Linked DNA regions of Astyanax mexicanus. The protein of the gene in region 1 interacts with the protein of each later gene in a pairwise test. Links are inferred from orthologs where the notes say so. Each region holds a gene or a part of one and is shown in the gene's direction. Other genes may lie near its edges.

The links.
Region 2: the proteins of pnrc2 (region 1) and dcp1a interact in binary tests that used the Homo sapiens proteins (3 or more experiments, as listed by UniProt). The link is inferred for Astyanax mexicanus from reciprocal best matches to the Homo sapiens genes PNRC2 and DCP1A.
Region 3: the proteins of pnrc2 (region 1) and esrrga interact in binary tests that used the Homo sapiens proteins (3 or more experiments, as listed by UniProt). The link is inferred for Astyanax mexicanus from reciprocal best matches to the Homo sapiens genes PNRC2 and ESRRG.

Annotation. Positions count from the first base shown.
Region 1 is NC_064411.1:32,344,376-32,355,399, forward strand, and holds pnrc2 (proline-rich nuclear receptor coactivator 2), read left to right. Parts: upstream 1-5,440; 5' UTR 5,441-5,626; intron 5,627-6,699; 5' UTR 6,700-6,915; intron 6,916-7,605; 5' UTR 7,606-7,626; coding exon 7,627-8,106; 3' UTR 8,107-10,539; downstream 10,540-11,024. Other genes in the region: uncharacterized protein LOC103038371, read left to right, coding at 1-266, 434-551. UniProt on the Homo sapiens protein: Involved in nonsense-mediated mRNA decay (NMD) by acting as a bridge between the mRNA decapping complex and the NMD machinery. May act by targeting the NMD machinery to the P-body and recruiting the decapping machinery to aberrant mRNAs.
Region 2 is NC_064419.1:11,674,143-11,685,923, forward strand, and holds the start of dcp1a (mRNA-decapping enzyme 1A), read left to right. Parts: upstream 1-6,981; 5' UTR 6,982-7,027; coding exon 7,028-7,162; intron 7,163-8,114; coding exon 8,115-8,155; intron 8,156-8,233; coding exon 8,234-8,361; intron 8,362-11,781. UniProt on the Homo sapiens protein: Necessary for the degradation of mRNAs, both in normal mRNA turnover and in nonsense-mediated mRNA decay. Removes the 7-methyl guanine cap structure from mRNA molecules, yielding a 5'-phosphorylated mRNA fragment and 7m-GDP.
Region 3 is NC_064421.1:38,111,648-38,122,672, forward strand, and holds the start of esrrga (estrogen-related receptor gamma a), read left to right. Parts: upstream 1-6,225; 5' UTR 6,226-6,510; coding exon 6,511-6,566; exon of another isoform or gene 6,567-6,570; intron 6,571-11,025. UniProt on the Homo sapiens protein: Orphan receptor that acts as a transcription activator in the absence of bound ligand. Binds specifically to an estrogen response element and activates reporter genes controlled by estrogen response elements.

The DNA of each region.
Region 1 (11,024 bases):
AACAAAGACGTCCAAATGCTGGAGCGCAAAGCAAGTGAAAATCAGCTGTCCTCACTTACAGAACTCACTGCTGAGTTCCAGTCTGCTTCTGGAAAAAAAGTCAGCCCCAGAACTGTTCGCCGGGAGCTTCAGAGTTTGGGTGTCCGTGGTCAAACAGCTGCAAAAAGGTCTAAGGGAGTCAAGCGCAAAGCAGAGCCTGACCTACAACCAGACAACGAAGAAACAAACAAGATGCAAAAAGAAAGTGCTGCTTCTAGTAACGATGGGTGAGTTTCATGTGTGCAACTTGTTTGGGTATTTTCTGTGTTAAGACCATTACACTCTTAACAAGACACAAATAGACAACAAAATATATATATAGTAAATATTTTGACATAATCCTCCAATGCTGTTCACAATGTTGACACAAATACTAACAAACTCTTTGTGTTAGGAACCCTAGTGCCTGTGAAGAGGATCAGCGACAGATTGAGCCAACATCTGAGCCCACAGACCAGCCAATGGACAGAGAGACCTCCACAACCAGCCACAACACTGAGTCTCTAAACTAAAGATTAAATATAATCTTACAGAATGTGGACTCTGCAGTCAAGCAGACAGAAAAGAAGGACTCTCAAACGTCTCATAATTATTTAACAAAAAAAAGGACAGTACTTTGGTTCATTATAAGTTCATAAATTGTTTGTGAGATTTGATTCCTTAGTCTTTAAACTGTACTGATACCTAGACACTAATAGTCAGCAAATTCCCTATTAAGGTATCAGCCATTTTACCAATGTTTTGTAGACACTAGGAATTTCACCATGGCCTTGAGAAGATGGAATGAAAGGTGGTAGGCTCTCATGTATTACAGTGTTTTTCTTTTAGTAAAAAAAAAAATATTGCTTGAATATATTTTTACACCTAGGAATATTTCTGGTCTCCACAAGGTCTGTGGTGTTTGGTTTAGGTTATTTTTAGTATTGGTTTATTTTCTGGACAAGGACAATATGGGCACATGGACTATGATTGGCCCCTGAGACTTCTGATATTTTGAGGAAAGACTTGTTTATGTTCTCAAAGCTAATCTGCTAAACATAAGGACATGGACACAAGGTTGCAAACTCTGCAAAAATTGACTGCAGATAATTATTTAAAAGCCAATCTAGGCCTTCACTTTTATTGATGGAACATACAATTGGATGTTTATGAACTAACCCTTGTCCCTTTTATGAGAATGTTGCTTTACTTTTTCATGTAAAGTTGCCTGTTTGAGATCATGTTGATTTATTATTATTGCTAACGTTTCTGCTAGTAGTTTTATTAATTTTCTTTTTTTTTTCAGCAAAATTCTGAAAAAGATTAACTAAATCATGTTTAAAGTTAAATTCTGATTTTATATCACAATCATGGAATAAAAATCGGGTGTTTATCTTAGTCTAGCTCTGGTGATTTTCCAGTAGTGTGCAGTGGCATTGATGCATAATCCCAATCTAATTTTGTTGGTATCAGATCCAGGTTCTAGAGCTGTTTATTGGCAAGAATCAATTCAATATGTATCATGATACAGGGGCCAAGATTCAAAATATCACAACATATTGTGATACTGTACGCAAGGCAATATATTGTGATGGTTTAAAATCAAATAAAAAAAACTGTTACTTGCATATTGATGTTGTCCTACACTCATAATAAATTAAGGATGTACTGTTCTGTCTTTCACAGACACACACACACACAAAAAGTTACTTGACTGCAGTATTTTAAAGAGGGTTGGACCTGAATAGTCAGGCTGGATTATATTGTATTAAACACATTATAAAACAGTAAGTAAAAAATCAGCTCAAAAATAAGTAATTTTACTTCAGTTTAAAATTGAGTGGCTACATTATTAATACAGACATAAACGTGACCAGTATTGGTATTGGCTGATACTCACCATTAAATGAATTGCATCGGATCTGAGCGAAAAATTACTTGATTAGGACATTACCAGTCTTATGTATAATCCTCACTGTATTCATAATGGGTATAAACTCTGCTTTCTTTCATGACACTGTGCTCTGCATTTCCACACGGATATTTTACTAAAGTCAAATCAGATTCCTGAATGTTTTAGCACATGGTTCTCAGTTCTGGTAGTGCATTGTTTGGGGGATTTCCCTTCTAAAACACACACATTAACAGTGACAGATGAGTTGAAACAGGTGTGTCTGTCTGAGACAATAAATCACTGAGATGTGTTGGACAATGGTCCTTCAGTAAATGAAACTGAAAAACACTGATATAGTGTGAATGGAGGTAAAATCCTGTAGTTATGAAACAAATGCTGCACTAATGCTCACAGTATTCGGTTTGGTGAAGCGCCTTGGCATGTAGGGAAACCCATATTTAGGGTCTAAACCTTTGAATATTTAGTGCTAAATAATTGGCTAACTTTGTTGATGAACTGTAGAAATCAGTACTGGCCCAAATGTTTTACATCAGACCATCAACATTAATTTTTTACATTGAAGGTACCTTGAGGAAGACCACCGTTTTCAGTGTAGCTGAGTATTTACAACAGACAGGGATTGAAAGAAAATAAAAATAATTATATTTAATCACCTTTGACAAAAGACAGTTAAAATGCAAAGGTAATAAATTTAAGTAAATAAATGTAAGAATCTAGGAGGGTTTAAATTAAGAAAGCATAAATATAAAAGAGATCAAACCAAACATACCTAGATAAACTATTAAATAATAATAAAAAAAAACAAATGGTAAAAAGTCAATACATTTATAAACTACAATATGCCCAAACACACTGTATGAATCCATGTTAATGTTTGTAATCCACAGAAATTTGCAATGTCAAATCAGCAAGTCATGCCCACCTTAATAAAGCCTAGATGCAGATTTGGGTAACTATTGGCTTCCAGTGAATGTTAACAATGCTCCAGTTCGTATTTTAAAAAGCTGAACCCAGGCACCAAACATGCCTGGGCTGAATTATGGCATTTGGAGTGAGTGGACACATGTGTTTCCCATTCTCTTAAACAGCCACTTGTAACCCAGATTCAAGCTGCTGTCGTTTTTCAAGCATTTTATACTTTAGGTTTACAGGAAGAGATCATGGGACTTTTAAAAGATTTACTGGATTTATTAATTGTATCCTAGGACACTAAATGCCACCAAACATCAGCACATCCCTTTCATGAACACCTTTTATCAATAAGTACTGTTTCTAAATAGTAATTACTATTTTGTGTTTATAGTATGAATCTAAGGATATGTTAACAGAGCAGGTAAAGGCTGCCTGAAATAATTTTGAAGGGCTGTATGCATTTATTAATAAACTGTTAACTCTTATAAACACCTATAAATAAAGTTGTTGCAAAGTACAAATCGATCCCCTCCAGTGCCTCCCATTCAACATTTACCCCTACGAGACTCACTATGAGGTGTGAGGAGCCACAAATGCTCGGCTCTAGAGCACCAAACATTAACAGCTCATCCCCACCCCCAACTTCAGGCCAAAACTCCTTCTAAAGAGAAAGAGAGTCATCTTCCTGCCATTACTAGCACTACTACAACCCAAACTCCACACCTTCTGATCTGGTGAAGTGAGAAACATGGGGATGGGTGATAACAGCCCCGTACCCTGCGAGAACTGTTTGAGGTGGTGGTTAGGTGTTGGGGAAACAGAGTGTTTTCTTTGTTTTCTTAACTCAACCAGTGTTTGCATGTTAATTATTAGTTGGAAATAATAATGTTAAAGACAGCTGATGTGTTCAAATGATGTAGAAAATATAAACAGCAATACATAGAGCACATACAGTTAAGTCCATACATATTTGGACAGTGACACAGTCTTTATGATTTGGGCTCTTTATGCCACCACACTGAATTTAAAATGAAACAAATGCCTTGGAATTGTAGAGTTTCTGGTTTAATTCACAGAATTAAACAAAAATATCTTATGAGGTGTTTAGGAATCACAACAGATATTTTTACAAAGTTACCATATTGCAGGGGTTTAAAAGCAGTTGATGAATTCATAAATAAGATGATAATTTTTAAAACTTTATTAAGAATCTTTTACAGACAATGACTGTCTGAAGTCTGGAGGCCATGCACGTCACTAAATACTGGGTTTAATTCTTCACAATGCTTTTTCCAGACATTTACTCCAAATGTCTTCAGTTGTTGCTGATTTGTGGGTCTTTCAACCTTTAGTTTTGTTTAACTTGATCGGCTTCAGATCTATTGATTGACTTAGATTAGTACATTTCTTCTCCTTCTCCCTGGGTTGCTTTTGAACTATGTTATGTGGTTCATTGTTTATCTGTACTGTGAAGCACCGTCACCAACCTTGCTGCATTTGGTTGAATCCGAGCAGAAGGTAAATCTCTGTTTACTTCAGAATTCATCCTTGTGCTTAAGTCTTTTTTAATAAACAATAGTGACCCAGTGCCATTGAAAGTTATGCATGCCCATACATGTTATACTGAGGATGTGGTTTACTTTCTGTCAAGCCGGTCCAAGCCTCTCCATACTTTCTTCTTTCCATCATTCCGGTACAAGCAGATCTTAGTTTCACCTGTCCAAAGAAGGCTTCTTTAGATGTTTTTTTGTCCCCTATTATTTATTATTTATGGTAGATTTGGATACTGATTATAAAATGCAAATATTGAAGATTGTGCCTCTGCCCAAATATTAATGGACCTAACTGTATATAATAAAAGAGACTGGAATTTCTTTACTTTTGGCTGTGTGCTCTTCAGTGACGGTAGTTTTTCTGGCTATGAGTCATGTTGTTGGTACAAAATTAAGACATGTATGTTTATATGTATTCAGCATACAAAGATTGGGCTCTATAAACCAGTGTTTATATGCATATGTCATCACCTGGTATTCGACTTAAAAGAATAGGTTAGGTTATATTCTTTTTCCGAGTGAGATTCAGTTCTTGTCTTTTTGTTTTGTCTTTTTTTTCCCCACATGGAAGAGTTGAAGAGTCGTAGAAACGTGCAGGTGTTGAAATATGATCATATTTCCCAGTATAAATATAAGAAACTGTATAAATGTGAGTATGTGAAGTGAAGACTGTTGGGCAGGATGAACAGCTGGCACTGCTCAACGTTGCAACAAAGAAGAGCAACACAAACTAGAAAAAGGACTCTGGGAAATAGTCAGAAAACCTGATTTACGAACTGTAGAGAGTGAAATGCGCTCAATAAGGAATGTAGAATGAAATTAAATGGGATTAAAAAGCTGAAAAACGTACAAAACAAACAGACAAACACCAAAACTGAAATGTTTTCCTGTGTGAAGAAAAACCCCCACAGATGGTTGCCTGGCTTGTGACGTAACGAGCGCAGCAACAGGCCAGTCTCGGTCCTCCTATTGGTCAATGCGCTTCGCTGTTCTACGCTGATTGGTCGGTTCCCGCCAGACCTGAACTACTTATTCTTGCTGGCGAGGCCATTTTGTTGTGAGAGAGAGAGACGGAGGAGAGGAGAGAGGAGTAATCCGGGCTGCTAGTTTCGGGAATTTAGAGGATTTTTACACACCGTGTGAGGAACTTCTTCCCCCAGAGCTGCAGCAGAAATAACCAGCCTGTATCAGACGCCTGGCTTTCGCCATCAGAACCCGGAGGAAGTCGGTAGGTCGACGGTTGTTCGGCTCTGTTGTGTTTCTTCACAAAGCCCGCCGCCATGTTTGAGAGGGACGTTTCTTTGTTTTGGTGTGGAGCCAAAATTCATGTCCTAGATTATCTGCTTTTACTGTAGAATATGTTTTAGTATATACTCCTTAATATATAACTCGCATTAGTTTATCTATCACCAGACTATGAAGTTCGTTGTTAACTATCTAGGTATCCTATTTAGATAGTTGTTTTCATGGTTCATAATTTATTTATTTAACCCCCCTCATTATTACTCAGTCAACTGTTTAATGTAACTTAAGGTTAACCTAAGTTATTTAACGCACGAGTTTAAGATAGGGAGGCTAATCTACAACCTAGCTAGGTGTAGATTGTATAATTTTAATATTCCTGGCATTTAAAAAAAAATCTACATTTTGTTAAGTTTCTGGAACTGTAAGTTACTTGGACACTTAAGCTTAACTTTTATGTAACGTAGCTAATACATGATTAAAAAGATCAGTAAGCTCTTTTATGTAACACAAATACATTAAGCTAGTTTCGCTATCTAACTTTAATTTAGTTGTGGGTTGTATAATTTTAATATTTCTGGCATTCAAAAAATCCACAATTTGGTTCAGGTAATATTAAGTATTAAGGACTAACTGGCTGTCTGGATGCTTAAGCTTAAATGTTCTTAATACATTTAGCTATTACAAGAAGAAGGAAACTGAGTATAATGTTAAACTAGGTTTCCATGGTTCATAGTTTGTTTTCAGCGGAAATACTGTCAACCATAAGCTTAAATATCTAGGTCGACAAATAATTGTCTTCTCTTGCTTGGTTCTTAGTGTTTGCTTGGTCTTTTTGTTTATTTATCTATTTTTATTTTGTCTGTAAATCTCTTTGCTTGGGTTTAATACGCTGTAACAGACAGCACTTTAATAGACCACAAACATTACTTTTTTTTTTTTATCCAGTGTGATTATCCCCACAACTCTAAATTCATATTCTAATCTTCCCTTGAGTCTGTTATTTGTAGAAAAATTACAAAACTGCCCCCACTCAATTCTTCTTGTTTTCTTTCACAGATCCGCGGCTTCCCAGTGCGCCGTGTGCTGGGGTGAACTGATGTTCAGCTCGGCTTCACGACCAAACATCGCTTGCTGGCACATGAAAACCTCAGACACTGTGGGCCTAAAGCGTGCAGTGAGAAGTAGATCGACTACTTCGAGGACCTGGAGCCCGATTGGTGAGGAGAAATTAAGAAATAGAGACATCTACGCACTCAGCTTCAACACAAAGAGGTAAGCCTGTACTTCCTCAGACAACATTGTGGGGGATGGGCTGAGGCTGCTGCCTGCTCTGCACGTAGGTCTTTGTTATTGCCAAGCAAAAGAAACACGACCAGTTTTATTTCCTTTTCCTTTGGACTTCCTCCTTCTAGTTAAACTTTTAGTCAATGTAGCAGTAGAACATTATACCCCCTTCGATTAAGCTCAGTTTTGCATATTTTCTCCCAAACCAAAATAAGCCCGTTATGTAATGTTAATGCAGCATGGATTGTGATCAGATTGTTCTGTTTTGTTCAGGTTTTCTCTGAACGAAACCTTTTTTTTATATTGTATACATGACTATTGTATACTTAAACTGGCAGAAATGCATTTTACAAAAAAATTGAGCTCTTGTAGATTTTTAGCAGCTTAAAAACACATCTTTTGGTGTATGCATTGGTGGTCTGGTCGTGTTCATCAGCTTGTTTAGTCATTTGTTTTTATATACAAGTGATTAGTGAAATTTTTCTTTAAATATTTTCGGCATTTTGTCTTAAGTTTCAGTTCTTTTTGTCCTGATTTTTACATTAATTATTCGAAGGAAAGTTAAATATTTTCTATGCTGCAATTTGTATGCTTCCCCTCTTTTCTTTGCTTGAAACCAACAATTTTAATGCCCAAAATAATTTGGTTTTAACAAATGTACTATTCTTCTTCTTAAAGGTGACATCCAGTGTGTGCAGTATGGGAGGTGGTGAGAGATACAACATTCCAGTGTCCCACCCCGATCACTCGGTGTTGAAAAAGAACCACCAGGTTGGCAGGGCCAAACAACGAAGCCGTAACCAAAACGGAGGCGTGCTTGCTGCGTCTTCTGGAGCCCCAGCGGGCCCCCATCTCCACGGCCATCGCAGGAGTGACAAGGGTAGCGGCTACTCGTGGTCTCCCGAGGCGCGGCAGGCCGTGTCCATGGAGAAAAAGAACGGGACTGTTCGCTTCGCCACACCGTACGACCAAAACTGGGAGGGCGCAGTGTCTCATCTGAACAACCTCTTGGCAGCGCAGTGTGGCCATAGTTACGCAGGAGCCAAGTTCAGTGACCCCCCATCTCCAAGCGTTCTTCCTAAACCACCCAGTCACTGGGTGTCTCTGCCCATGGGTCCTTGCGATCGCCGTGAGATGATGGCCTTTCAGTTAAAGAGCCTTCTAAAGGTGCAAGCGTGAGGATGACCTTCACTTATGATCTCTCGATGTTTAACGATCGCTCCACTTTGGACTCCTACCTTCCTGGAACGCTGCAGTGTTTTAATACCAGTTTTTAAACCCATTTTAACAAAGATTTGTTTTAAACTTTGAGCAGGTTTCCCAGATGTGGTCAAGGAGCCTAAATCTGGACTAAAGGCTAGTTTTCTGTGGTGAATTTTCATTGATTTGAACATTTTGTTCACAATTAGGCTTAAACCAACTCTGATCTAGATTCTTTGGTCCAGATTAAGATTAACTCTGGCCCAACTGTTTTTTTTAATAGTACAACATTAGCTATTTACATTTCTGTTTCATTGAAGACTGGCCTTAATCCAAGTAGATGGAACTGGGCTATGTATCCTTTTTTATTATTACTATTTTTTTAATGTCCCAAGAGGTGTTTAGCTGCTGCAGCCTTGCAGGTGGGAGAGCTCTTAGTGGAGCTGTATGCCTTTGATGAACGATGAACTGTTTCCTCCTCGCTGTTTTTTGTTTTGTTCTTTTTTTATTGGCCGTTAGTTACGTTACACATCGCCAGTTTGACAATGCATCAGTTTTGTTTTTCTACTTTCCAGAATCTTATTGCTAGCCCTCTGCATGACGTTTTAATCATGATGGGGTTGGGCAAAAAGTTCTCTGAGCTAAAGCACATCAGCATTTGTAGCACATTGATCTTTAGATTTGAGTAACATTCGTCTAGTTTCTAATGAGAGGGGGGATGAAGCTGCTTGAACCTGCTCTAAAGAGCAAGCTGAGTGTGGAAGAACAAGCAGTCAGTCAGTCCTAGGTTGTGGTTTAACCTTGGACTGGTGTATTTGTGATGCCCAGACCTTGTGCTTTCAACTCCTGTACTTTCTTTTTAAATTGCGCTGTGCGCACTGCACTATGGGTGTTGAAATGCAACAAGGTTTGTAAGTTCCATAGCATTATTTCTGTCGCGTAATCAATCGTTAGTATTTGCGTTTACTAAAGCAATAGCTTTGTCCCCTTTTGCTTATCACATGGTTAAGTGCCATATGTGCCAGAACAGGTGAAGTGTTATACATATATCTAAGAATACAATCAGTAATGTTTTGTTTTTTATTTTCAAGTTTTTAATAAGCTTTTTGAGCATCCCTTCAGAACACCTACAACACAACTTCTATGCGGAGGGGGGTCCAAGCTGCCTGCAGGATGCAAGGGTGGTGATGTTTTTTCTCTACCTTTGCTCTTGCTTTATGGCCTTGTTTGTGTTGTGGTGTGTTCTGAGGTGATGATTTGGAGCACTGCGCACGTTTTGAGACGCGGGACACGAGTATGGATGTGTTTACATATAAGGAGGGGAGCAAACAAACCAAAAGGTCCTACCCGTAGCCTGCCAAAACCATACACTTCCCTTTCATGCTTTGTGTTCACTTTGCACTGCTGTTGAGTTACTGTTCTTCCTGTGGCGGGTACATTTAACAAAACGGCACCCCCTACCACCCTTAATTGTTTTTTTTTTTTTTTCATGTGTTAAATGGCGTGTGAAATTGTCGGTACCTCTTGCGCAACCGTTAACGGCCGCCTAAAAGACGATAAAACGAAGCTTGCTATGTAAGAAGAGCCATGTAAATAATGAAATGTATAAAATATTGTAGCATATTGTACATTGCGCAGGGTTGTTTTAAACCTGCTGATAAAGTATTTTTAGTAATAACACTGAATGTGTAAGTCACGCTGAAGACGTGGCTTGATTTCAAAAGATGAAATATATTATTTTTGTTTAAAAAAAAAAAAAAAAGATACTGTTTGCCTATAGCATGTGGAAACCCCCACACTGTGCTGACTGTTGCCAGTGATCTTGCACATAATGATGCTTTTATTTTGTATAATGCACAGTATTGAGGGTGAAAACAGGCTTTTGAGTGCAAATAAAAAAAAAGATGCTGAACTGAAATTTCTAAATTGAAGAAAAACTTTTACACTCACACACTTACTTATTTTGCTTTTTTTTTTTTAAATCAGTTGTTTAGGCACTTTTTCAGTAACTAGGATTGTATTCATATAGTTCTCCTTGTGATTTTATTTAACTTTATACTTCTATATTTCTTAATAAATAGCAGCTATTTTGCACCCAATACATCAGCCTTTCCTCCGCATGTTGATGTTTTGGGTACATAATCGCTGCTCCAGATAACCTTTTTTTTTTTTTTTTTTTGAACTTTTCCTCTTCTCCCCTGCCCCCTCTTCCCCTCCTCTTTGGGTCTGTGTATGTGTGTAAAAGTTTTTCTATTTAATTGGCTCTGAATTTGTCCCAACCTTTAAAGTGTCACTGTGGAAAAAACACAAATGCCCCATTTGATTGTAATTGGTATGTTCTAAAGATGTTTTTGAAAGCACTGCATAATTTGGCAAAAAAATTAAAATAATTTCCCTTCCCTTCCCCCACAAGTGTGTATGTGTTTTGATATTGTTGTGCTTCTGTTTTCTTTTGCATATTGCAAAGCTTTGGTTAAACAATGATATTCTTCATACTATTTTGTAGTTCCCAAATCAAGATGTGATCTACACAATGCTGGTAGAATTTAAACCAAAGTTCAGATTTATTTTTATTATTAATTATTAATTTATTGGTCATTTATTATTTGTATAACCATACCTTCCTCAAAGATTGGGATGGTCATCTGAAATGGACATTTGAGCTCATTAATTTACATTCCTGGAACTTTTTTTAATCAAACTGATTTATACAATTCAGATTACCAACCTTTTGCTAAACCTACCTGACCATGACCAAAACATACGTTCCATACTTAACATATGAAATGTAGATTAAACACTAAAGCACAATTTTATGCCACTTTTATCCCAGTATTTGCAATGACTGAAAGAAAATCCCCACCTTAAACATGCTTTGGTATTGGACATGCGCTACT
Region 2 (11,781 bases), on another chromosome or scaffold:
TCGCAGCTCCCGACGCGCTGAGAGCCGAGCGGCGCGCGCACCCGGAGCGTCCCCCGCTCAACAAGTGCCTCCGAAATTCATCTCCAGCAGCTCAGAGTGACACAGCCGAGTTCAGACACTCCTGCAGCGGCAGCGAGGGTGGAGGGTAGCGGCTAGCTCCGCACAAACACACACAAGCACACAGTGAGCTCCAGAGCTCAAAAATCCCGGAGCCGCTTTAATCCCTGCTGCTGGACTCGTGTCAGGGCTTTCCGCGCGCACACACACACACACAGACCACGTGAACTATAACGTTAGCTTTCTAACCAAAATCCCCCTTCACCAACATCCCTACAAATGTATAAAAAATTAAAAAGAGTTAATAAAGGGTTTTATACATTTATTACTTTTTATCATCTATTTAGATGAAATTACACATTCTCACCGGACACCATTATGAACTGTCACTTTAAAGGGGCTCCACCCTCAGCTCAATTTTGAAAAATACAAAAAAGGAATAGAAGGAGTTTGGGAGGGGCACTGGGTGATGTATGGGTTTAGGGGTGGGGCAAAAGGGAGAGCAAATTGGACTGAGCTGCAGCAGCAGCAGTATTGCTCTCTTTAACCACATTCACTATTTCTGGGCAATAAATTGTCGCAGAATAAATGGTGGTAAACAATATTATTGTCATTTTAAGACTATTTTATAACAACAAGCAAAACAATGTTATAATTAAATTAAGGATATTAAAACAATTAAATACTGTACCAGTCAAAAGTGTGGACACATCTTAAATGCAAAAAAATAATTCTGCATTGTAGAGTAATACTAAGTCATTCAAATTACAAAGAAAATCATATGGAAATATTTAATAAATAAAAAAATACTAAACACACCAAAATATGTTTAACATTTTAGATACTTCAAAATAACGCTGCTTGCTTAGATGACAGCTTTACACATCTTGGCATAATTTGAAATTATTTTCTCCATCAGCTTGTGAGCATCAAATTTATGAGGGAGCCACCTTGAATGACCTTCAATTAATAGCTGTGCCTCGTTAAGAGTTGCCCTCTTAATTAATGTGTTTGAGAGCATCAGTTGTGTTGTAAAGTGAATAATACAGTGAACAGCCCTTTTTAGTATTGTTATAATCCATATTATGGCAATAACTACTCAACTAAGTAAAGAAAAAAATATTTTAATAAATGAAGGTCAGTCAGCCCAAAACATTTCCGGAACTTTGAAAGTATCCTCAAGTGCAGTCATAAAAAAGTTTTGATGAAACTGGCACTCATTAGGACCACCCCAGAAAAGTAAGACCAAGAGTTCCCTCTCTTGCACAAGATAAGTTCATAAGATACCCTGGCTAAGAAGAGTTATGCGCTGGATAGTTTTTGTGCGCATAAAGATAAAATTGATTAGGTTTCTTTAATCTGCCTGTGTATTCTTATTAAGAAACAATACTTAGGATATCTATGCTCCAATAGAAGCAGGTGAAAACCTGGCCGGCAGGCTCCATCTCTGCCCTTCAGGACTGTTTTGAGTGCACTGCATGGGACATGTTTAGGGTGGCTGCTACTGAAGGCAATTCTATTGATTTGGAGGAGTATGCAGCATCAGTCACTGGCTACATCAGCAAGTGTATTGATGATGTCACTGTCTCCAAGACCATCACCACAGGCCCAAACCAGAAGCCTTGGATGACTGCTGAGGTACGTGCGCTGCTGAGGACCCGCGACTCCGCCTTCAGAGTGGGTGACAAGGTGGCCCTGAGGAAAGCGAGAGCCGACCTGTCAAGAGCTATCAGAGTGGCAAAGCGCGCACACGCCCAGAGAATCCACAGCCACTTCAAGGACACGGGTGACGCGCGGCGCATGTGGCAGGGCATCCAGGCAATCACCAACTACAGGACAATGCCACCGTCCTGTGAACGTGATGCCTCCCTCCCTGATGCCCTAAACAACTTTTATGCACGGTTTGAGGCACAAAACAACACGATGGCGAGAAAGACCATGCCCAAGCCAGACGAGCAGGTGTTGTGCCTGACTGCAGTGGATGTGAGGAACACTCTGCGCAGAGTCAACCCACGAAAAGCTGCAGGACCAGACAACATCCCCGGCAGAGTGCTCAGGGAGTGCGCAGACCAGCTGACAGATGTTCTCACGGACATCTTCAACATCTCCCTGTGCAGCGCCACTGTCCCAACATGCCTCAAGTCCACCACCATCGTCCCCGTGCCGAAGAAGTCCACAGTGTCCTGCCTCAATGACTACCGTCCCGTTGCACTTACACCCATCATCATGAAGTGCTTCAAAAGGCTAGTCATGAGGAACATCAAGACACAACTGCCCTCTTCACTGGACCCCCTGCAGTTTGCGTATCGTCCCAATCGCTCCACGGACGATGCCATCACCACCACCCTTCATCTCTCCCTCACCCACCTGGAGAAGAAGGACACTTACGTCAGAATGCTGTTTATAGACTTCAGTTCAGCATTCAACACCATCATCCCACAGAACCTCACCAGGAAGCTAAGCTCGCTCGGCCTCAACACCCCCCTCTGCAACTGGATCCTGGACTTTCTGACAGGTAGACCCCTGTCAGTCCGGTTCGGGGGCAGCACCTCCAGCACCATCACACTGAACACGGGGGCCCCCCAGGGCAGTGTCCTGAGTCCTCTGCTGTTCACCCTGCTGACTCATGACTGTGCTGCAAAACACAGTTCTAACAGCTTTATCAAGTTCGCCGATGATACAACCGTGCTGGGTCTCATCACCAAAGGCGACGAGTCAGCATACAGAGAGGAGGTGCAGCGGCTGACAGACTGGTGTACAGTCAACAACCTTCACCTGAATGTGGACAAGACAAAGGAAATGGTTGTTGACTTCAGGAGAGCACAACACACCCACTCTCCACTCAACATCGACGGGTCCTCTGTGGAGATTGTTAAGAGCACCAAGTTCCTTGGTGTCCACCTAGCAGATAACCTCACCTGGACCCTGAACACCAGCTCTACAGCCAAGAAAGCCCAGCAGCGTCTCTACTTCCTCCGGAAGCTGAGAAAGGCCCGTCTCCCTCCACCCATCCTCACACTCTTCTATAGAGGGACCATTGAGAGCATCCTAAGCAGCTGCATCACTGCCTGGTTTGGGACCTGCACCGTCTCTGACCGCAAGACCCTCCAGCGTATTGTGAGGACAGCTGAGAGGATCATCGGCGTCTCTCTCCCCTCCATCACGGACATTTACACCACCCGCAGCATCCGCAAAGCAACCAGCATTGTGAATGACCCCACTCATCCCTCACACGAACTGTTCTCCCTCCTGCCTTCGGGAAGAAGGTACCGCAGCATCCGGTCCAGCACCACCAGATTCTGCAACAGCTTCTACCCCCAAGCCATCAGACTCCTTAACTGCAGAGACTGAACTGATGGTTTTTCTGTACATGCACACACACTCTTACCCCACTTACCCCAGAAAATGGAAAGCACTAAAAACCCTACTACCTCACTGGACTCTATTGCACACTGTGTAATAGAGTAATTACTACCTCACCTGGTCTTTTTTGCACACTGCAAAATTTGCACACTGTCTTGTTATTTATTTATTATTCTTTGTCTGTATGGTGTTGTATTGTCTGTCTGCACTTTTGTACTGTTGCACTATTGTTCTGTCTACACTGTGTTTATGTGCACCATGGTCCTTGGAGGAACGTTGTTTCGTTTCACTGTGTACTCTGTATATAGCTGAAATGACAATAAAAACCACTTTGACTTTGACTTTGACAGGTGTACCCTACTGTTACATTTTGGAGCTTTTAAGTGAAAGCCTAAGATTACGTTGAGCTAAGTTAGTGTAAATGTACAAGGAATATGATTAATTTACTGTGCTTATATTTTATATGGTTATATACTGTATACTATAACGTTTATATTACAAAATTACTATTTATTTATTTATTTTATGTACAGTGAATGATCATAGTTGAACCATGATGGTAAAAAATACAATACAGTACAAAATATTATCTTAATCTGTAAAAAGCATATATTAATAGAATATACACATCTAATTGTTTATTATAGCCTGTTTATGGATGTTCATTGTTTATTATTTTAACTGCATATGCCTTTGAAGACTTCTAAGTGTGCTGAAAACCAATTCCCATGTAACTGATCTTGTGTGCTCAGGACAGTAGCTTAAAAGATTTAAGTTTATATTTAGAAGCAAAGTAAGCATGCTACAACCAGTCTATAGACTATTATCTTCAGGATTCACATTGAACAGCGCTAATATATCATTAAATTAGGTCCTGCGTAATGACCTACTGCAGGAGCCTAAAGGGCCTGAACAAGAAACAGCTTCCATCCACAGACAGCTTTTTGCTTCATGAGTCAGACCCTCCTCATCAAAGTCTTACCTCGGCGCCCTGCTCTCCAAGGAATGAATGCCATTCACCTCCTGCTGATTTGTAGCCAAAGGACGACATTAGTTTGCCACATTCCGCCTTGAAACTGGAAGAAATATAATGTGCTGTATGTGAAGACTTATCCTACAGGGTTGGATTACCTGCCCTAGCAGCTAACACTTTCAAACTGATAATCTCCCAATAATAATCCAGCTAATGTTCCTTACCATAGGGGGTTACTGATTTATTCCAGGCCATAGCCTGGTACTTTCTTCTCTGTTTTCTTACTAAATGTTTCTCCGACAGTCCCATTCCACCTTAATAAATGTTTAATTCATACTGTGTTGTTCAAAATAAACACTTTAGTACAACACAATTACTAACTATAAGAATGTCTAAAGACGAGGGAATTTATAATCTGAAGTTACAGCAATTGGGATTTGTGTGAGATAATAAAAATTGAAAAATATATATATATATTTCAACAGACTTATTTACAGAGGGAGATTTTATGCCGTTTGAGCTTTTTTATTAAATATAGTTTGTTTCACACTGACATCTTGTGGTAGCTTCTTTTCTCACATGGCTACCACCTGCAACGAGACTTCTTTCTGTCAGTGACAAAACAGATGTTCTCCTTGTGTTCCACAAGCAGCAAGAAATTAGTCAGACGTAATGTTAAATCTGGTTGATTTGTTGTTAGCTCTGGTTTAGAAGCAATAAGCATAATCTTGGAGTCATAATTGATTTAGATCTATCTGTTACACCTTAAGCCTACGATTGTCTGGTTTTTTTTTTCTTGGTCCTTTATGTTCCTGTCTTCTGCTCTTTTTTTGTCTCCGCCCAAGCCCAGCCTTGTCATAAGTGTTCCCACCTGTGTCTCTTTTGTAACCATGCCCCCTTGTTAACCTGGCCAGGTGTTCCTTGTCTGTGTCTGTGTGCATATATACAGTATGATGTACTCCATGTTTTCCTTTGTTCTCTGCCATGCATTATTTGATCCTGTTGATTGTGTTGCTGTTTTTATGTTTTTTCTTTTGTTTTAGTTTGTTTGTTTTAGTGATGGCAAAAGTGAAGCTTTTGGGAGATCGAATCAAATGAACCAACTGATTCTGGAAAAGATTTGATCTTGTGAGACGTTTAAATCATCATTCCCCACAGTGAGATCTGACAGGCAATCAAATCAGCAATGTGCCGGATATCCTGGTGTTGACAGGAAACAGTAAATTAATGCAACTGAAATTTATACTCAAAATTCCAATAGAAATGCTGCAAAATGTATTTCATTTTGAAGTTCATGAAATTAGGAAAAAAATATGTTCATTTTAGAGATATAATGTTTTAATCCGTCATTGTCTCAAAAGAGAAATCGCTAAAGGGTTTCCCGGCCTTTGTAGCAAAGCCACTACAGATGGTCCAAAATGCAGCAGCATGCCTGGTCTTTAACCAACCAAAACCAGCAGGCATGTCCAGACATCCCAAGTTGCAAAAATTAATTTCAAGGAGTTTTGATGGGAGCCATAAAAAAAAAAAACACTGTCCGCCCACACTTAAAACTGATTGGCTGACTCAGACTCTTTCCAGAGAACAGGCAAATCAGTACCCTCTCTTCTTGGAGATTTTGTGACCTGCGGTCATCAGGCAATCTTTACTGATATGCAGTAGACTCCTGCAACTTCCAGAAGAATTGGCAAGTCTGTATGTCACCCCACTGCTCACTGAGCTCCACTGGCTACTATTGGCTAACGTTGACTGCTCGCATTAAATGTAAAGCTCTTACAATTGCCTACAAGGTGATGAAGGAACAGCACTCACCCTAAATGTCTATTACCTCCCAGCCACTGCGTTCCTCCTGGGAACGTTGTCTAGATTTACCAAACATTCACACAAAGCAATCCAGACAGTTCTCTTACATAGTTCCCCAATTGTGGAACAAACTACATACTGCTACCAAAGCAGGAGCATCTCTCCCTATCTTCAAGAACCTCCTAAAGGCAGAGATCTTTAAAGAGCACTTACTTTCCTAACACCACTAACTAAAAATAAATAAACTAAAATAACTACTTTTAACTACTTTTTACCTCCTCTATCCCACTATTTCCATTTGGCCTCCTTCAGGCCCTGCCATGGACTTTAATGTCCTCTATTGCTAAATGTACATAATTATTTGTACGTTTATTTATTTGTTTATTTATTTTATTTATTTGCACTTTACTCATAGTTACTTTGTCACCTTGTGGACTTCCACACACATATTCTAGATATCTGCACATGTATATAGCATTGTAATATCTATATATTTTACCTTACATCTACAGTGCAATACCATATGTCTATAATGTTATAGAGTTATATAATATATAAAGTAATTGTGTATATTGCTTAAGTTAATTGTATACTTTCTATTTTATTTTATTTATTCTACTCTATGTTGTAAATATTGTTCTCTACATACTAGTGGGAACTTGCACCCAAGTTTTTTACTCACCTTTACATTTATAATAAATCTTTCATTTGATTTTATACACCACGCGGAACCAGTGTTTTGTTGCCACCTGCGTTCCTCCGGAAGGAGAAAGCGAAGCGGTGCTGTGTTCCCCTCAATTAGTTCCGTGCAGCCGCGGGCCAGTGTGCAAGATGGAGTCAGTGAATAAAGCGGGGCATCTGATGAGCCTGGCGGCCCTGCAGCACTACGACCCGTATATCAACAAGCTGCTCGACGTTACCGGACAGGTCGCGCTCTACAAGTTTAACTCTAAAGCCAGCGAGTGGGTAAGCGGGTGTTTTTTTAGGCTGTGGCGGAGTGATTAAGTTAGCTCAGTTAGCCGATTAGCTATCTCTCTCTCTCTCTCTCTCTGTGTTTAATGCTGAAGCTCCGAGTTCTCTCATTCACTGTAAATAACGCAGCTGTTAAACTACGGTGTGTAGCTAACTTAGCTAGTCTGTCCAGCCTCAGGATAACTTAAACTAACCTACTCTAGTTACAGTAGAGGGGTACTTAACCCCAAATCATAATCTTTTGTCATTAAGAGTTAAATGTGTTCCTCTGAAGTAATAAAATCATCAATTATCAGTCCTGTTTAAAATAGTTCTAAACTTTTCCTAACCTTTAATACCTTTTAATACACGATTTTATTGCGTTGACTTCTGCCTCTGCAGTGCCTTCACAGATTCAACTGTTCTATAGGTAAAGATGTTTTCATGTACTCACAATATGCAAATCAGCCCTCCCTTCTGTCCCGCCCCTAAACCCATACATCACTCAGTGCTCCTTCCAAACTACTCCTTAATTTATTTATTTTTTTTTTTTTTTCAAATTTGAGCTGAGGATGGAGTCTGTTAAAATCAGGGGATTTAGTTACCAAAAATATTTCTTATAATAATAAAAAATAATAATAATAAAAAAAAAATATATATATATATATATATATATATATATATATATATATATATATATATATATACACCATTAATAATAAAAAAAACAATAATAGTAATCATAATAATGTGTGTATATGTGTCCATACAAAAAAAAAGTTATGTCTACAGGACTATGGACAGGTAATTGTAGTTTATTTATGAGTGTTTATTTTGTGTTTTTATTGTATTCTTATTCTTTACAAGTTTTGAACACAAGTGTGTAGTTTTTACTTGTGCTCAGATATGAGTAATATCTTTAAAGCCCAACAATTTCACATACTAACGTGTAACTTCCTTTTCACAGGAAAAAACTGACATTGAAGGCACTTTATTTGTTTATGCCAGGTAAGTATTCTCTAATTTGTATAATCAGTTGGCTTTGCTCATGTACTGTATTTAGAAGAGAATTCTCTATTTCTGCAGGTCAGCATCACCCCATCATGGGTTCACTATCATGAATCGTCTGAGCACAGAGAACTTGGTGGAGCCAATCAATAAAGACTTGGAGTTTCAGCTTCAGGACCCTTTCCTGCTTTACAGGAATGCAAGCTGTAAGTGTCCACACTTTTGTTTAAGTACTAGCATGGAGTTTGATAGCCCAAATACTTGTATTGAAAAACACTTACATAAAATTTTGCAAAACTTTGGGGAAGCATAACTCTTTGGTACGCTGTTGTAATGTGTTATACACTCTTTGTATAAAAAAAGTTGGTTTGATGTGTCCATTTAGGTAAGAAGTGCATTGGCTTCTTAGAGTCTTTCGAGTATATTGCATTGCCTTTGGTTCTGTCAGTGACCAAATCTCACACTTGATGCAAAAATCTCTTGTTTACCACTGTCTACACCTGTCATACGCATTTATGGCACCGGTCAGGTTTTATAATTTAGATGCAGATTACTCTAGATGCCAGCTAAATGGCATAAATGTTAGACTTCATGTATAAACTTTTATAATTAGGAATGTCTGCTAATAAATTGTGAGATAAAATCCCTTTTTGTGTAACAATTTATATAATAAGGCATTTTGCTCTTATTTTAATTTGATTTCAGTGACCATTGTTTAAGAGTGTTTTTAGTGTGTTCAATCATGATTTAAAAACAAAGAAATGTGTGTAGATCTACCCTCAGAAACATCCAGTGTTTCCACAATAGTTTTCAATAGTTTCAGATATAATGATGTTTTTTCTGTTTCTCTGTAAAATACTTCCAAACTCCAACTGAACTTGTTCGCTTATCTTCTGAGAACTCTCCCCAGTGACACTGGTTGGGCATCAATGTTTGTTAATAGTGCTTTAAGAACGTCAGATTTAAAACAAACACTCAGAACTTGTTTAGGATTAAAGTTCTGATTCCCTATGCCTAGATTGTCAGAATCCCAGATAAATTTGGATTAATTCTGACATCTGTAATACTAAATTTACCTATGATTTAATGGATGTAAATTTAGACTGCTTTCATTACTTGCCTTTTGAAGACTGTGATCAGTCTAGGTATGTTATTTTGGATATATAATTAAAGTTTAATGTTATAAAAATAAAAGCTTTCCATCGGCTTATGGTGAAAATTTAGAGCGTGTGCTTGAAATGACATTTTAATAACATCGAGTGTAATGGGAATATGATCTTTATCTGTCAGTGAGTTATATTGGAAGGCTGAGATTTTAATTTCCCTACCAAATATGGGTGTTTATTTGAAGCTGGGCCTGCAGAGATTGCAGTTGAGCACGATTTCAACTTCAGAGATGGAAAAGAACATGAGATAAGGTACCCTTGAGATACTGCTTTGTGAAATTCCTTTCCCCATTAGGAATGTTTGTAATGTTGTCGTATTTAGTTTCCAAAGAAAGCCAAACAAACAGACTGTTTTTTTTTTCGACTGTCTTTGACCTGCTTTGTGATCTGTTCATGCATGACTTCTTAAGTTCTGGTTGTTTTCCCCTCAGTGAGGAGATGGTTTATCAAGACTTCTTAAGTGTTGAAGGACTTGGCAGAAAGTGTAGTTTTGTGTGTGTAAACAGGTTTACACTGTGTACAGGCAGCCGAGTAGAATAATTTACTGTATGACTTTTAATTGATGATTTAACCACGACCACAGAGCAACGACCACACATTCATTCCAGATGTGAGTGGTATTGGTATTTGCTTTACTTTTTCTTAATTTAAACTGTAAATGCTGTAAACTGTAAATAGTTGTTGTTTAATTGATGCTAAATCTAAATCTCAGAAAGCCCCAAAAAGATTTTTATTGGGAAATTGCACACTGCTAAATCCACATTAAAAAGACCAGTTGTAAATTGTAAATTACACTATGTTGAATCAAATTTTCTGCTTATCCAGACATGTTTTGTGACTCTCACACTTTAGGAATTTCTTACACTCTCGATATTTTGAAGAGTTACGTTCGGATACTTAAGATCAAAAGAAGTTCATACTTCTTCCAAATACACTTCAGATGTTAGGCTCTCCAGGAATGAGGGTCTCTGCTGCTGTTTGTATACAGATTTTAGATCATGTCAGGCTACATTCTATTTTTATGAGTTTCCATCAATATTGAGGCCAGCTATGAAAGAACGCAGAGCTTTGGAAGAGGCCATGTTCGGTAGCATTGAGGACTGTTTGTCTCGAGTGCCAGACCGCCTTGATCTACTTGATTTACTGCATCAACATCAAGCATTGGTCAAACGGCTTCCCGCTTCAAACCAGTTGACCACAGCTTAAATATGCAAAAACAAGTGTATGAAATAGGGCTGTCAACATGTAACACGTTTAATCTGGAAACTTTAATACCTAATTAAAAAAAAAGGGAGGGGGGGATTGTTCACATGACAAGTTATACTCAGATTCTCTCACACACAGCTGGTGGTACATGGTTCCTATTTTCAGGTTGATAAAGATAAAAGAATATGGAGCTACACTAGCATTTTATTTCTTCTATGAAACTGCTATAGTAACTACTCTGATTTTTAGTAATCTATACGTATAAAAAAAGTCTCTAGTGTGCATGGCATAACACACATAACAAAATCGATAATGATTTTACTTATAATAAAATGGATTCCTGAAAATTAAGTGATTTAAACCAATATTCTAAATATAACTGAGCAAATCAACACTTATTTCTTGGCTGTTATTTAAAGCTTGGTCTTAAAAAGAAAAACAAAATATGATTAATCACAATTAGTCACATAATTCTGATAATGATTAATCAGATTTTTTATTCAGTTAACACCACTAATATAAATACACTCCCAATAACATTACTTGAATTGTTTATTTTATTGATCCATTTATACGTTTATTTTTAAAAAAATATTTTGGTATGAAATTAACAATGTTAACGGTGGTATTAAATGACTGCACTTTTTGGAGTTATTGGTATTAAATAATTTTTGTAAAGATTATACAGGTCTTGTTGACCTGTTTTAAATACTAATTAAAACTAAAACAAAGAACATTAAGATACCTTATGGCAGGCCCGTAGCCAGGGGGGATCGAAGGGTTCGTTCGATCCCCCCCATCCCCCCCCTCAGCCACCCCAACTCCCCTCCTGCCCCCAGAGTAGTGACGAGTAAGAAAAATGGTTAATGTTTCTCTTTACACATTTTGTTCAGACTGTTTTACACCAATCCAGTAGGTGGCGGCAATTCCCCCGTTTCTGTTCTTAGCTTGTGGAAAGAATAAGAATCAGGGGAAAGTTACTTGACAAAATGGGTAAAAAAGAAGACAAGGAGCGAAAACGGAAGAAAACGGCGGTAACATTGTCCCAAAATATTGGTGACTTGTTCAAAAAAAGGCCCAAAATCGGTAAGCTGCTGAGTGCAGGGCTTCTATTTCTTTACAACTCCCCTGCATTAACAGTGCCGGGCTCGGCTAAGCCCAATAGTATATTGTACATGTAACACCGGATTATTACTGTTATTATTGGGATAACTCCAAAGTCTGGATTTTAGTTGAATTTTAAGAAATGTAGGT
Region 3 (11,025 bases), on another chromosome or scaffold:
TGGGTTTTTGGTTACTTCAGATTGATCTAATTCATCTACAAGCAGTTCACAGGATCTGTTTTATCAGGTTCAATTTCCACACATATCTGTTTATAAAATGCTGCTGCTGCTGGAGATTATTAGATAATTAGTATTATGTTTTATGTTTTATTTTTTTAATGATGCTCTTTAGAAATAGAATTGTCTCTAGTTCAGAAGAGGAAAAAGACTAGATGATTGAGATAAAAGGTAAAATAAGAATTTTGAGTTCAGTCATATGTCCCAGTTGTGTTTAGATGATAAAGGAAGCATTGTTACGTTCCCTGTTTATACGTACAGTCCATGACACTGGTGTGGCAGGTAGAACAATAGAGGACACGTCGCGTGCACGCACACACACACACGCAGCACTGACCACATCACAGCCAGTAGCTCCCTCTGTTGTCCACTGCTGAACTGCATGGAGCAGGGCTGTCCTAATGCAGGGCTGCCAGTCTGCCTCCGAATTCCCACTGAGAACCAATACACAGACTCTGCAGCCCTCTCACATAACCATACACACACACACACACACACACACACACACACACACACACACACACACACACTGACACACACACACACTGATACACACAGCTTCCCATGGAGTGCATTACTGCACATATCAGTCCTCTGCCGAGTTCATATCTCATCATAAGTCTCTGTGAGCTATAAATGTGTGTGTTGTGTGTTTGTGCTTATATAAGTGTATAATGTGCGCTGCAGTTTATTATTGTTTTATATATGGCTGTATCAAGGTTTTAGCAGTGTAGTATATTAGTTTACACAAAACCTATTGGTTAGGATTTTTAGATAGTAATACTTTACGTACAGAAGATTGCAACTGAAACATAGGTCTATATATTAGTGGTATTTTATACATTACTTATTTAGGTTGTTTATTTGCTTTTATTATATCATTGCAGTAATAGTGTTATAGTGTAAAGTTGTTATTTTTGCTTGATTATTTATAGCGTATTGTGATATATTATTTTCTTATCATATCAAAATTACACTGAGCCTAAGCATATTGAGATCATCAGTAAAAAAAAAAAAACACTCCAACTGACCCTACATTTATTTATTAAATCCAGTTTTAATTAATGAATTGCAGTGGTTTTGACTTAGAATATTTATTTAGACTAAAAGTCATGCTGGTATTGGATAGTATTTTTTTGTGTAAGGATCTGTTGCTATTGATCATTACGTCAGTTATTTAACTGCAATCATGTGTCATCATGTATTATGATAAATATCATATTGTGCTAAAATGTCTTTAAATATTGTGATATATTATATTTTTTGAACATTTTTATCAGATCGCACAGCCCGACCTCTATATTATGTGTGTGTAAGTGTGTGTGTGTGTGTGCTCTGATGTCTCTGAATGCTCTGGCTCTGAATAAAGCAGCCCACCTCCTGAATTTATTAAGGCCCAAATTTGACAAGTTGATTTTAAACAACTCCAGCGGCGGCGGCCTGCATTGACTGCGCGCTCGGCGGCCAAGCCGGCTGACATGTGACCCGCGTGAACTTGCCCTCCCCTATTGACTGCCGTGATTGATGCTCCGCCGAGCTAGCCCTGATAATTCTTAGCCGCGTGTCAACAGCCGGTGACCAAAGGGGTCATCACTGTCTTTAACATTTCACACACACAAATACAGCCGCGCACACGCGAGCGCTGCCGGCTCACGCGCACATGCAGCGCACACGCAGTCGCACAAACAAACAAAAGAGGCCGTCTGGAGCTAACGACACTTTCTGAAGCCGTGCGTTAGTTGTGTTGTGTTTTTTATGCCCCTCTTTTCTGTGTTAGCACAAGTCTTTTGTCTGCCAGCACTCGAATTGAATATCTGCCTATCTCTGCGGGGAGATCGTGCCTCACTTTTGGAGGCGAGGCGAGACGAGGCTCGGAGGATGTAAAACACCCACGGCAGCGATCCTCCGAACAATGGAGGAAGGAGTTGTGTGAAAACTGCTAATGGAAACGAGGGGCAGCTATTGACACGTATCGACAGTCGGGGCAATCAGCCCGGCCTGGCCGTGCATACTTAAGTTCAAATGTATTCAGCAAGGCTGCAGGGATTAAAGCCTATTAATGACAGCCTGTAGCGAGAAGCCTGCCTCAACAGTCTCTCAGCTGCCTTTTTTCTGCAATGACTTTATGCTAAGGAGAGCAGGTTAGCTTAGTGAAGGCGTAGTGAAGAGCTGGCTTTTATGGCTGCTGTAGACCAACAACAGTTTTCTTGTATTGTTTTGGTGTTAATTGACAAGTTTAATTGACAAGTGGCAGGGGTTTACATTTTTTTATTTTTACGTTCATTTTAAAGAAGTGCAGAAGAGCAGCACTGTAATCTTTGTAATGACTGTAATCATATATATATACTTATACTTATATAAATATACTTTTACTTATATATATATATAGGTATATATATATGTGTACTTTTACTTTTAAATATATATATATATATATATATATATATATATATATATATATATATATATAGAGAGAGAGAGAGAGAGAGAGAGAGAGAGAGAGAGAGAGAGAGAATTTTACCACTTTTTCTACATAGTCTCAGTGAGAGCTGGGCAATATATCAAAAGTATTATTATTTTTTAAAAAATAGATAAGAATTTAGATAAAAAAAGTTGTGGAAAACATATGACTCTCTATATACAGTATAACCACATGGTAATATTGTGCCTTCTGCATAGGTTACCATTTATCTATTATTTATTCCATCAAATAACATGCATAGGTCATTTGTGGTCATTTGCTTGGTTTGGTTCCAGGAGGTTTGACACTCGACAATTAAAAGAGCAGCATGTTGATTTAAAGCAAGTGCAGTTTACTGAATCAATGAAATTTTGTGACAAAGAAAACAACTTTCTTATGTTTATAAAATATATTAATTATTTTAAAAAACCTGGATGCACTGATATGTACTATTTAAATATCCAGTATACACTGTGTTTTTGATGTTACACATAAATACAATATACATTTTCAGTCATATTTCCTAGTCCTTCTCCCAGCACATACTCTAAAATCTAAACATATAAACTGTACTGCAAAGACTCAAAAATCCCCCCTTCTCTTTTATTTGTATTTTTTTTGTCTGAACTGTGCAAATTACGCTTGTTTTTCCACTCATCATCATCATGATTCCTGCATGCATCTGAGCTCTGAAAGCGCCGCCGATTACTCTGCTTCTGCATGCGCCCACCATTTGATCCGCAGACATCTTAATATGAGGAATGTTTGTTAGTCCCCAGGGATCTTTCAGAGCGCAGGTATCCCCACTCCTGCCTTTCACATGCCGGCGCGAGTGCCGCTCCTCTACCATTCGCTCCTCTCCTCCTCCAGTTCTCTGTTCAAACTGCGTAATTAAAACATAGTTTAAAAACATGTTTTTTTTTTTGCTCCATGCAGCTTTGAATCTGAGCTTTAGTATTTTTTTGATCAGCGGCCTTATTTTTGTGATGCTCAGGAGTAGTATACATTGTTTTAAAGCAGCCACATGAATACATTAGTGCAACTTTGCAAAGAGAAGTTGAAATATTTAAATGGGCGTGTGTGTGTGTGTGTGTGGTGTAAAAAAAAAAAAAAAAAAACTCCTTTGTTAGGCTCACCGTGTCCTTCAGCAGTGCAGAATACTTATGCTTTCACATTGCTTATGCTTTTTCTTAAAAGGAAATACACTCTCACTCTCAGTTTTTTCTCTCAGCTGCTTAACTAAAATGCCAGGTATTCCAGATCCAGTTTCTTTTATTTTCCACAAAAAGCTTCACTCTAAAGTGTTTTTCTAGTCTTTTTTCCTCACTAATTCATTTGTTTCTATTCCTTATAACTTAGGCTTGTTCATTGAGTCCTTGGCAACATTAATCTAAGATTTCATTCACTGATGCAGGCTAGTAAAAGTTCTGAATATATATTTCTATGTATGTGAGAAAGTATGCGCTTTTGCCACAAAATCTTGATAAATATATATTTTTTGTTTGCACGCTATATTGCAATTCGAAATCTGTAAAAAACAACCAAAAAAATATAAACAAATGTTTTTAACAAAAGTCAACACATCAGCTCATTCACAGTAACAGTATCACAATATATAGCAATTATGCAAGTACAACCTAATAAAATACAATCAAACTTAAATAAAAGTTTGGGTGATGTATATTTTTATATATTTCTACGTAAGCTGCTGTAGTCCATTCTGTGTGTATCTGTACCTCGCTGTTATTGAAGCACTGGTCACTGTGTAACAGCCTTAAATGTTAGTTCATTCAAGTTCATTCATATGTAAGAATGTTAATATGCAACAGTAATAACACAATGGATAAGTCATGTGTATGTATTGTTTAGTAAGTTGATATTGTTATTAATAATTATAGTACAATATCATGACAGGCCTTATCACAAATAAAATAAATATAATTTCATAATCTGTCCAGTAATAATCTGTAGATAATGGGTTATATATTTTTTTTATACATAGATAAATTTGGCTTTAAATTTCATTAATCATTTCATTTAAATTTCTTTAAACTTCAATAATCTCACTCTTAGACATAATTTAGATAGTATAGTTGATAGTTGATAAAGAAGATACTGTAAAGATGCTGTGCCCATCAGACTGTGCTTTATTTAAGGAAATTCCCTTACAGCCTTACAGTCGTGTAAGTTTAACTGCTGTGTGCTCTCTTTTGTTTTGAGGCGCAGGAAAGGTGTGTTTTTGGGGAGAAACAGGGGCTCGAATCTGCAGCAAGTTTTTGGATTACAAAAGGCGGCCAGAGACAATTTGGGCGGCAGCGTGGTGGGGCAGACACAATAGTTAGCTGGCCGCTGCGGCTCCTGAATTTTCTTATCAGTGGGGAATTGCGCTGCGCTGAGAGCCCAGCAATATCTTCCCTGCTGCTGCTGGAAATGCAGCGAGCGTGGTGACACACACACACACACACACATACACACACACACTCAGACATGTGCGCACACATTTACACACACGCACACACACATACACACCGACTCAGGAACAGAGAGAGAGGCGCGCAAATGTGGCCCAATCATTCTGAAACAAAGGGGAGTCTTTGATCTTTTCTCACGGACGGACCCAATCCCCCCCACCCCTCCACACACACACACACACACACACAAACACACACCATGCCTGTGAATAATACAAGCCAAGCCATCATAGTTTTGGTCCACTCCAGACAGCTCAGCTTCACTTCAAAACATTCTCCACACTTTTTTTATACACTATATACTCTCTTATACACACTAGCTATCTATATACCACATAGAGTATATATGAGAGTATATAGTTATATAGTGCGGTAGTGTGGAGAACTTTCTGCTGAGAACTTTTTGCTGTGTGTACACAAAAAAAAAATAGAAATTCTTATAGTAGAATATATTAATATATATATATATATATATATATATATATATATAGTAATTATATGATTGTAGTATTGTACATACTACACTATATATTGTTTATAGCTTTATAGTATCCTCATATAATTTATACCATATATACACTATATGCTAAATTCTTTGATGTACAGTGTATATTTATATAGGATGTATTATAACCAGTGCAAAGTCAGTTAGCATAAGCGTATGCACATGCCCCAGTTCAGAGGTTAACGTAAGTGCTTGTTCTTACAGTTCGCTGGTTTCCAGTGTGGGATCTACTGGCGCGGGACCTTCCCGGTGCAGGCAGGACAGACAGAAGGCGAGAGAAGGATCTGCAGAGGGAGGTGAGCGAGAAAAGGAGCAAACACATTGCTCGCAGCACACAGCTTCATTTACAATGTTTTGTATCAACAAAGTGAGCGCCTTTATCTCCACGCTTGACAGTGTGAGCCCGCAGATAAGCAGTGCTGCGAGAGAGAGACATGCACCGCACTGCCTCTTTAAATCTCTCTCTCTCTCAAGCTCTCTCTTTCGTTATACCCCCCTCTCTCTCTCTCTCCCCCTCTCTCTCTCTCTCTCTTTTGCGCTTGCTCTATCAATCTATCTACCCCCCTCTCCCCTTCTTCTTTCTCACTGGCTCTCCCCCGCTTTGTCCCCTCCCTTCCCCGTCCGCCCGCTCTCCCGGCTCGCGCACACAGCACCTTGTCCGGCTCCAATTGGCTGAGAAGTCACCAATCTGGCGTCGGGAAGGGCCGGGGGGACTGCATATGCAAAGCCTCGCTTCATATTAATGAGCAGCAATCGTGGCTTTAAGTCCTTGATTAGAAGAGTGCAAGAGCTTTTGGTCCCAACTGGCTGTGCCTATAGGCTTGTCACCGGGAGAACGCTTTCTGTTAATTGCACCGCTCGAGTGACGGGACAGTGAGAGGAGGAGAGAGAGAGAGACAGACACAGAGAGAGTGAGAGAGAGAGAGAGACGCAGAGAGAATAAGAGGCAGAGAGAATAAAAACAGAACTTTGATTTATATAGAAGGGCTTGCTCAAATGATGGTCGCAGAACGCAAATGGAGTCGGTAGAACTTTCGCTCCCCGAGTGTTTCTCGTTACACTCTGAACAAGAGTAGGTAAATTTTACCTTTTCTTCTTATTCCTCTACTACTTATTGCTCTACCTGTGACTGCCTGACTTGTGTATGTGTATGTGTGTGTGTGTGTGTGTGTGTATATGTACAGTATTTGAGTGTGTGTATATGTGTTTGTATAGATGGTGCTTGTCATTGCTAGTCATGTGCGGATATATATATATATATATATATATTTTTATGTGTGTGTGTGAGTTGTAAACAGTATGTGTGTGTGTATGTGTTGTGTTCCTGTACGCTACCTGCAGTGCATGTCTTAATTATTAATATTAGCAGTATTATTATTATTGGGGAGATGGACCCATAGCATGTCCAGGTTGTTGATATTCTTACCGTTACTGTCGTTACTATCGTGGTCACTGTAACTGTCAGGTAGTTAGTCTAAAGCCTACAGTGTGTGAGAGAATAAGAGTGTTAGAGTGTGTGTGTGTGTGTGTTAGTGCTAATGCACAGCTATAGGTGCAGTGTGTTCAGTAATAGAGAGAGTGTCCCTTACCTGTGTACTTGTACTGTTGGTTAAGCTTCCCTTACAGGGAGCGAGTGCTTAAAGTGCAGCACTCTGAATTCTCAGAGAATTCTTTCTCACTTTGTGTGTTAAAACTGACCTATTCATTGTTCAGCCACTCTCTAACTACTATAAGTGGAATAATAGAGAATGAAGAGAATGATTTTATATATTTTTTCATTTTTTTAATAAAAAACGAAACAAACAATGAAATAGTTAATTTTTGGCGTGTAGGACCCTGTGTTTGTGAGAAAGTATGGAAGAGGCATGATGCGAGAGTAAGAGATTGTAAGAGAGAGAAAGAGAGAGAGAAGGGAAGAAAGTGGTCCTTAGAGAAGGAGAGCTTGAATCACTGACCGGCCGCTCAGCATGTGGCTCACCGGAGGCATTAAGGACGGCACGCGAAAAAAAAAGTGGCGGTGTGAGAGGGGGTGAGAGAGTGCAGGACAGATGATGGGGGGTTGTGGTGGTGGTAGTGAAAGTGGCCCTGTGCTTCAGCTCCGTCTCGCTCGCTCTCCGCTGTCAGAACGGCTGGAGGAATCCCTGAGAAAGTGATCCATAAATCAGTCCCAGCTGAAGGGTTGAGCTGTATATTTTATATTTTATAATTTTATATTTATATATCACTTTTGTGTGTGTGTGTGTGTGTGTGTATGTGTAAAATAATGGTATTGTAATAATAATAATATCTTAAATAATGCCATTCTTTCGTGTAGTGCAGCTTTGAGACTGATCAAAACTTTAGGAATCTTGATACATCATCCATATCCACGTATATATATATATATATATATATATATATATATATATATATATATATATATATATATATATATATATATATATATATATAATTGTTTATTCTAGTCTATTAATAGTTCCAATCTTTAAACAAACCTTCAGCTATTTTTTTACAACATATATACTCTTAATATAACATATACATATAATTGTATTATATCATAAAGGAGCATGAAGTTCTAAGTGGGTTGTATTTGATTTAGTATTTGGCAGTCAATGCAAGTTTATTTATTTATTTATTTATTATTTTGTGTCTGTGTGTAATGAAAAATCACACACCATAGACCACTGTCAGATTAAATTGAATTTTATTATTACAGATATAGGCCTCTTTTTATCTCAAAAAATAAAATGACATCTTAATATTTTAACAAGTTAGCATTGTTCTGGCTTTATATATATATATATATATATATATATATATATATATATATATATATATATATATATATATATACAAAACTATATATATATATTATATAAAACTATGTTAACTCTAGCGATGTGGGCAGCCAGTGCAGGAATCAGAGTCAGGGCCAGGGGACAGAGGGGACGCGGGAGGCACGCGAGAAAGCTCGACCTGTGCATCTTCCTCTTCCTCAGTGCGTGCATGCAGGCAGTACCAGAGGAGTTATCATGAGTGCAGATTTGATTGTTTGGTTGTTTGATAGTTTTAATTGATTGATTGAAGGATTTTACTTTGAACACACACTCTCTAACACACACACACACAGATACAAAGGTTGGAGCCTGCAGGATGCAGTGATTCCTGTTCAGAAAGTAGAAGTGTAATATCATGCACGGATAATGTAAAGGTGGTTTAGATCAGTGAAGCCCTGGCTGAGGTTCACACAGATACAGAGAAGGTTGTGGGATCCAGCTCTCAACCAGAACAGCTCGGCAGCTCTTTACCTTCGGCGTGCTCATTACGCTCTCTGGATTAAGGCTTGTGAAAGTAAATGTAAAGATAAGAACATCGCTTTTCCACAGCTTGCTTCTCTTTTTTCCCCATTTTCCTCATTTGCTGCTTACTTACCGTTTGATCTTTTCTTATAATACAAATTAACTGGCAATATTCTAATTAGTATATTAACGCTGGCAATAACAACAAGTGGCAGTTAAGCTATTATCATAATTACACTCGCTTACTGCCATGCATGTACATTTCATTTGCATGCTCGTTTTAATATTTACACACACACACACACACACGCTGCACAAGATGAGGTTTAGGAATTCAGATTCAATAATCCAAAAGCACATTTCACACCCTCTCTTTGTTTTTAAATTTCCTTTCTGCGGGTGTGTGTTTGTGTTTGAGATTGAGATATTTGCTGTTTGTGCAAAGAAATGTCATTACAAAAATTATATATAAATACATAAATAAATAAATAATTCTTTTTTATATAAATATAGTGTTTTTTATTTGCTTTTACTTTACAAATTTTTACATTGAATTGAATGAAATTTGTGATATTCCTTATCGTACGTCTTTGACATTTCGCATGTACACACACACGCACACGCAAATAAAATAGTTGTTAAACTGATTGTGTGATAATATCATGTCCACACACATGAAATATATAAATATATAAATATTATTTGTTTCATATATGAAAATGTTAGTATTTTTCTGAAAACACCAATTTAAATTCAACTCAGTAGTTGGATGTTTCAGTTTAAAAACAGGAAAAATTGTGGTTTCGCAATTTAATTGTTTTATATGTGTAATAATTACACGAGACACACAATTAATACAATTTTCCAAAAATGCAAGAATCTGTGTTCACACCAATTTTTCACGGCAAAAATCAAGCGACATCCTCCAGCAGAATAGCGGCAATCAAGGGTGTCTGTTCTCTCGGCGGCGCTCAGATCATTTAAATTGTACCTGGTATCTCGGTGAGCGTTCAGGCGTGTACGACCTTTTGTCGCTTGGCCGTGGATTTGCCGGCTGCTCGGACCTGCGGTGGCCCTTGAAGAAAATGTGATGATTTTTAAGCTCATTTCCACCTTTTCTCTCACTTTTTTTTTTTGCTCCGTGTGAGAGGAGAGGGGGTTGAAAGCCCCGGAGGCAGGGAGATCAGAGGGGGAATAAAGGGAGATTGCGTAAATTAAATTCCATTTAATCTCCTTATAAAATCATTTAATTAATTTATCTTTTAAATTATGTCAATATTCATGCCACTGGTTTGCATTCTTATTTAGTCCTCTGTCTGTCATACTCCTTTTTCTCTCACATGTGCGAGAATGTGTGTGTGTGTGTAAGCGCTACTGGCATTGTTGCTTTTGAGCTTGTTTGGATTCGGGTCTTTTCGCTGTCCCTTGTGTGAAGGTGTCATCCTTGTGTGTGTGTGTGTGTGTGTGTGTGTCTGTCTGTCTCTGTGGCCTGTTGTCGATTTCTGTCTGGACACTCTTTTGTCTTTACGCCGTTCTGCTCATAGAAGACGGAGCTCTGCCACTTCCTCTTGTTTGAAGGGGTCTGAAGCATTCCAAGGGTAATTAACTCGAGTTAAAAGAGACAGAATGCCACCCCCGCCCCTCCGTCCGCCGGGACTCTTTCAGGAGAAAAGAAGGGATGGGAGGGCAGTAAAGAAAAGAGGGGAGGTATATTTTTTGGCCTTTTGTTCCAAAGGTGCAATAAGTGGCCTCTTGGACTTGTGCAAGTGTACACACTCGTACACAAACTCAGGCACACACACACACACTCACGTGAAGCAGCCGCAAAATAGTCACACGCAGGTGCTGTGCGCTTGGCATCACACACATACACACACACACGCACACACACGAACTAGAGGGGAATAAAAGAGCACAGGGACTGATGATGCGATTGTCAATTTGTGTGATTTATGTCACACAATCCGTCATCATTTGTTTTCAGTTCTTTTAAAACTACTTTTTTTTTTTTTGAAGACAAAATGAAAACTCAGCCTTAAAGGTTTTAATCAGAGTTGTTACACAAGATTTTATACTGCAATTAATAATTACACCAATTACACTTTATCCCTAATAGGAAAAAAATATTTCGTTTCATGATATTTAAAGATTTTTCTGAAAGATTCATAATCTACGCTAAGAAAATGGATCAATAGCTGAATAACAGTGTTCTTAACAAATGCCGAATTA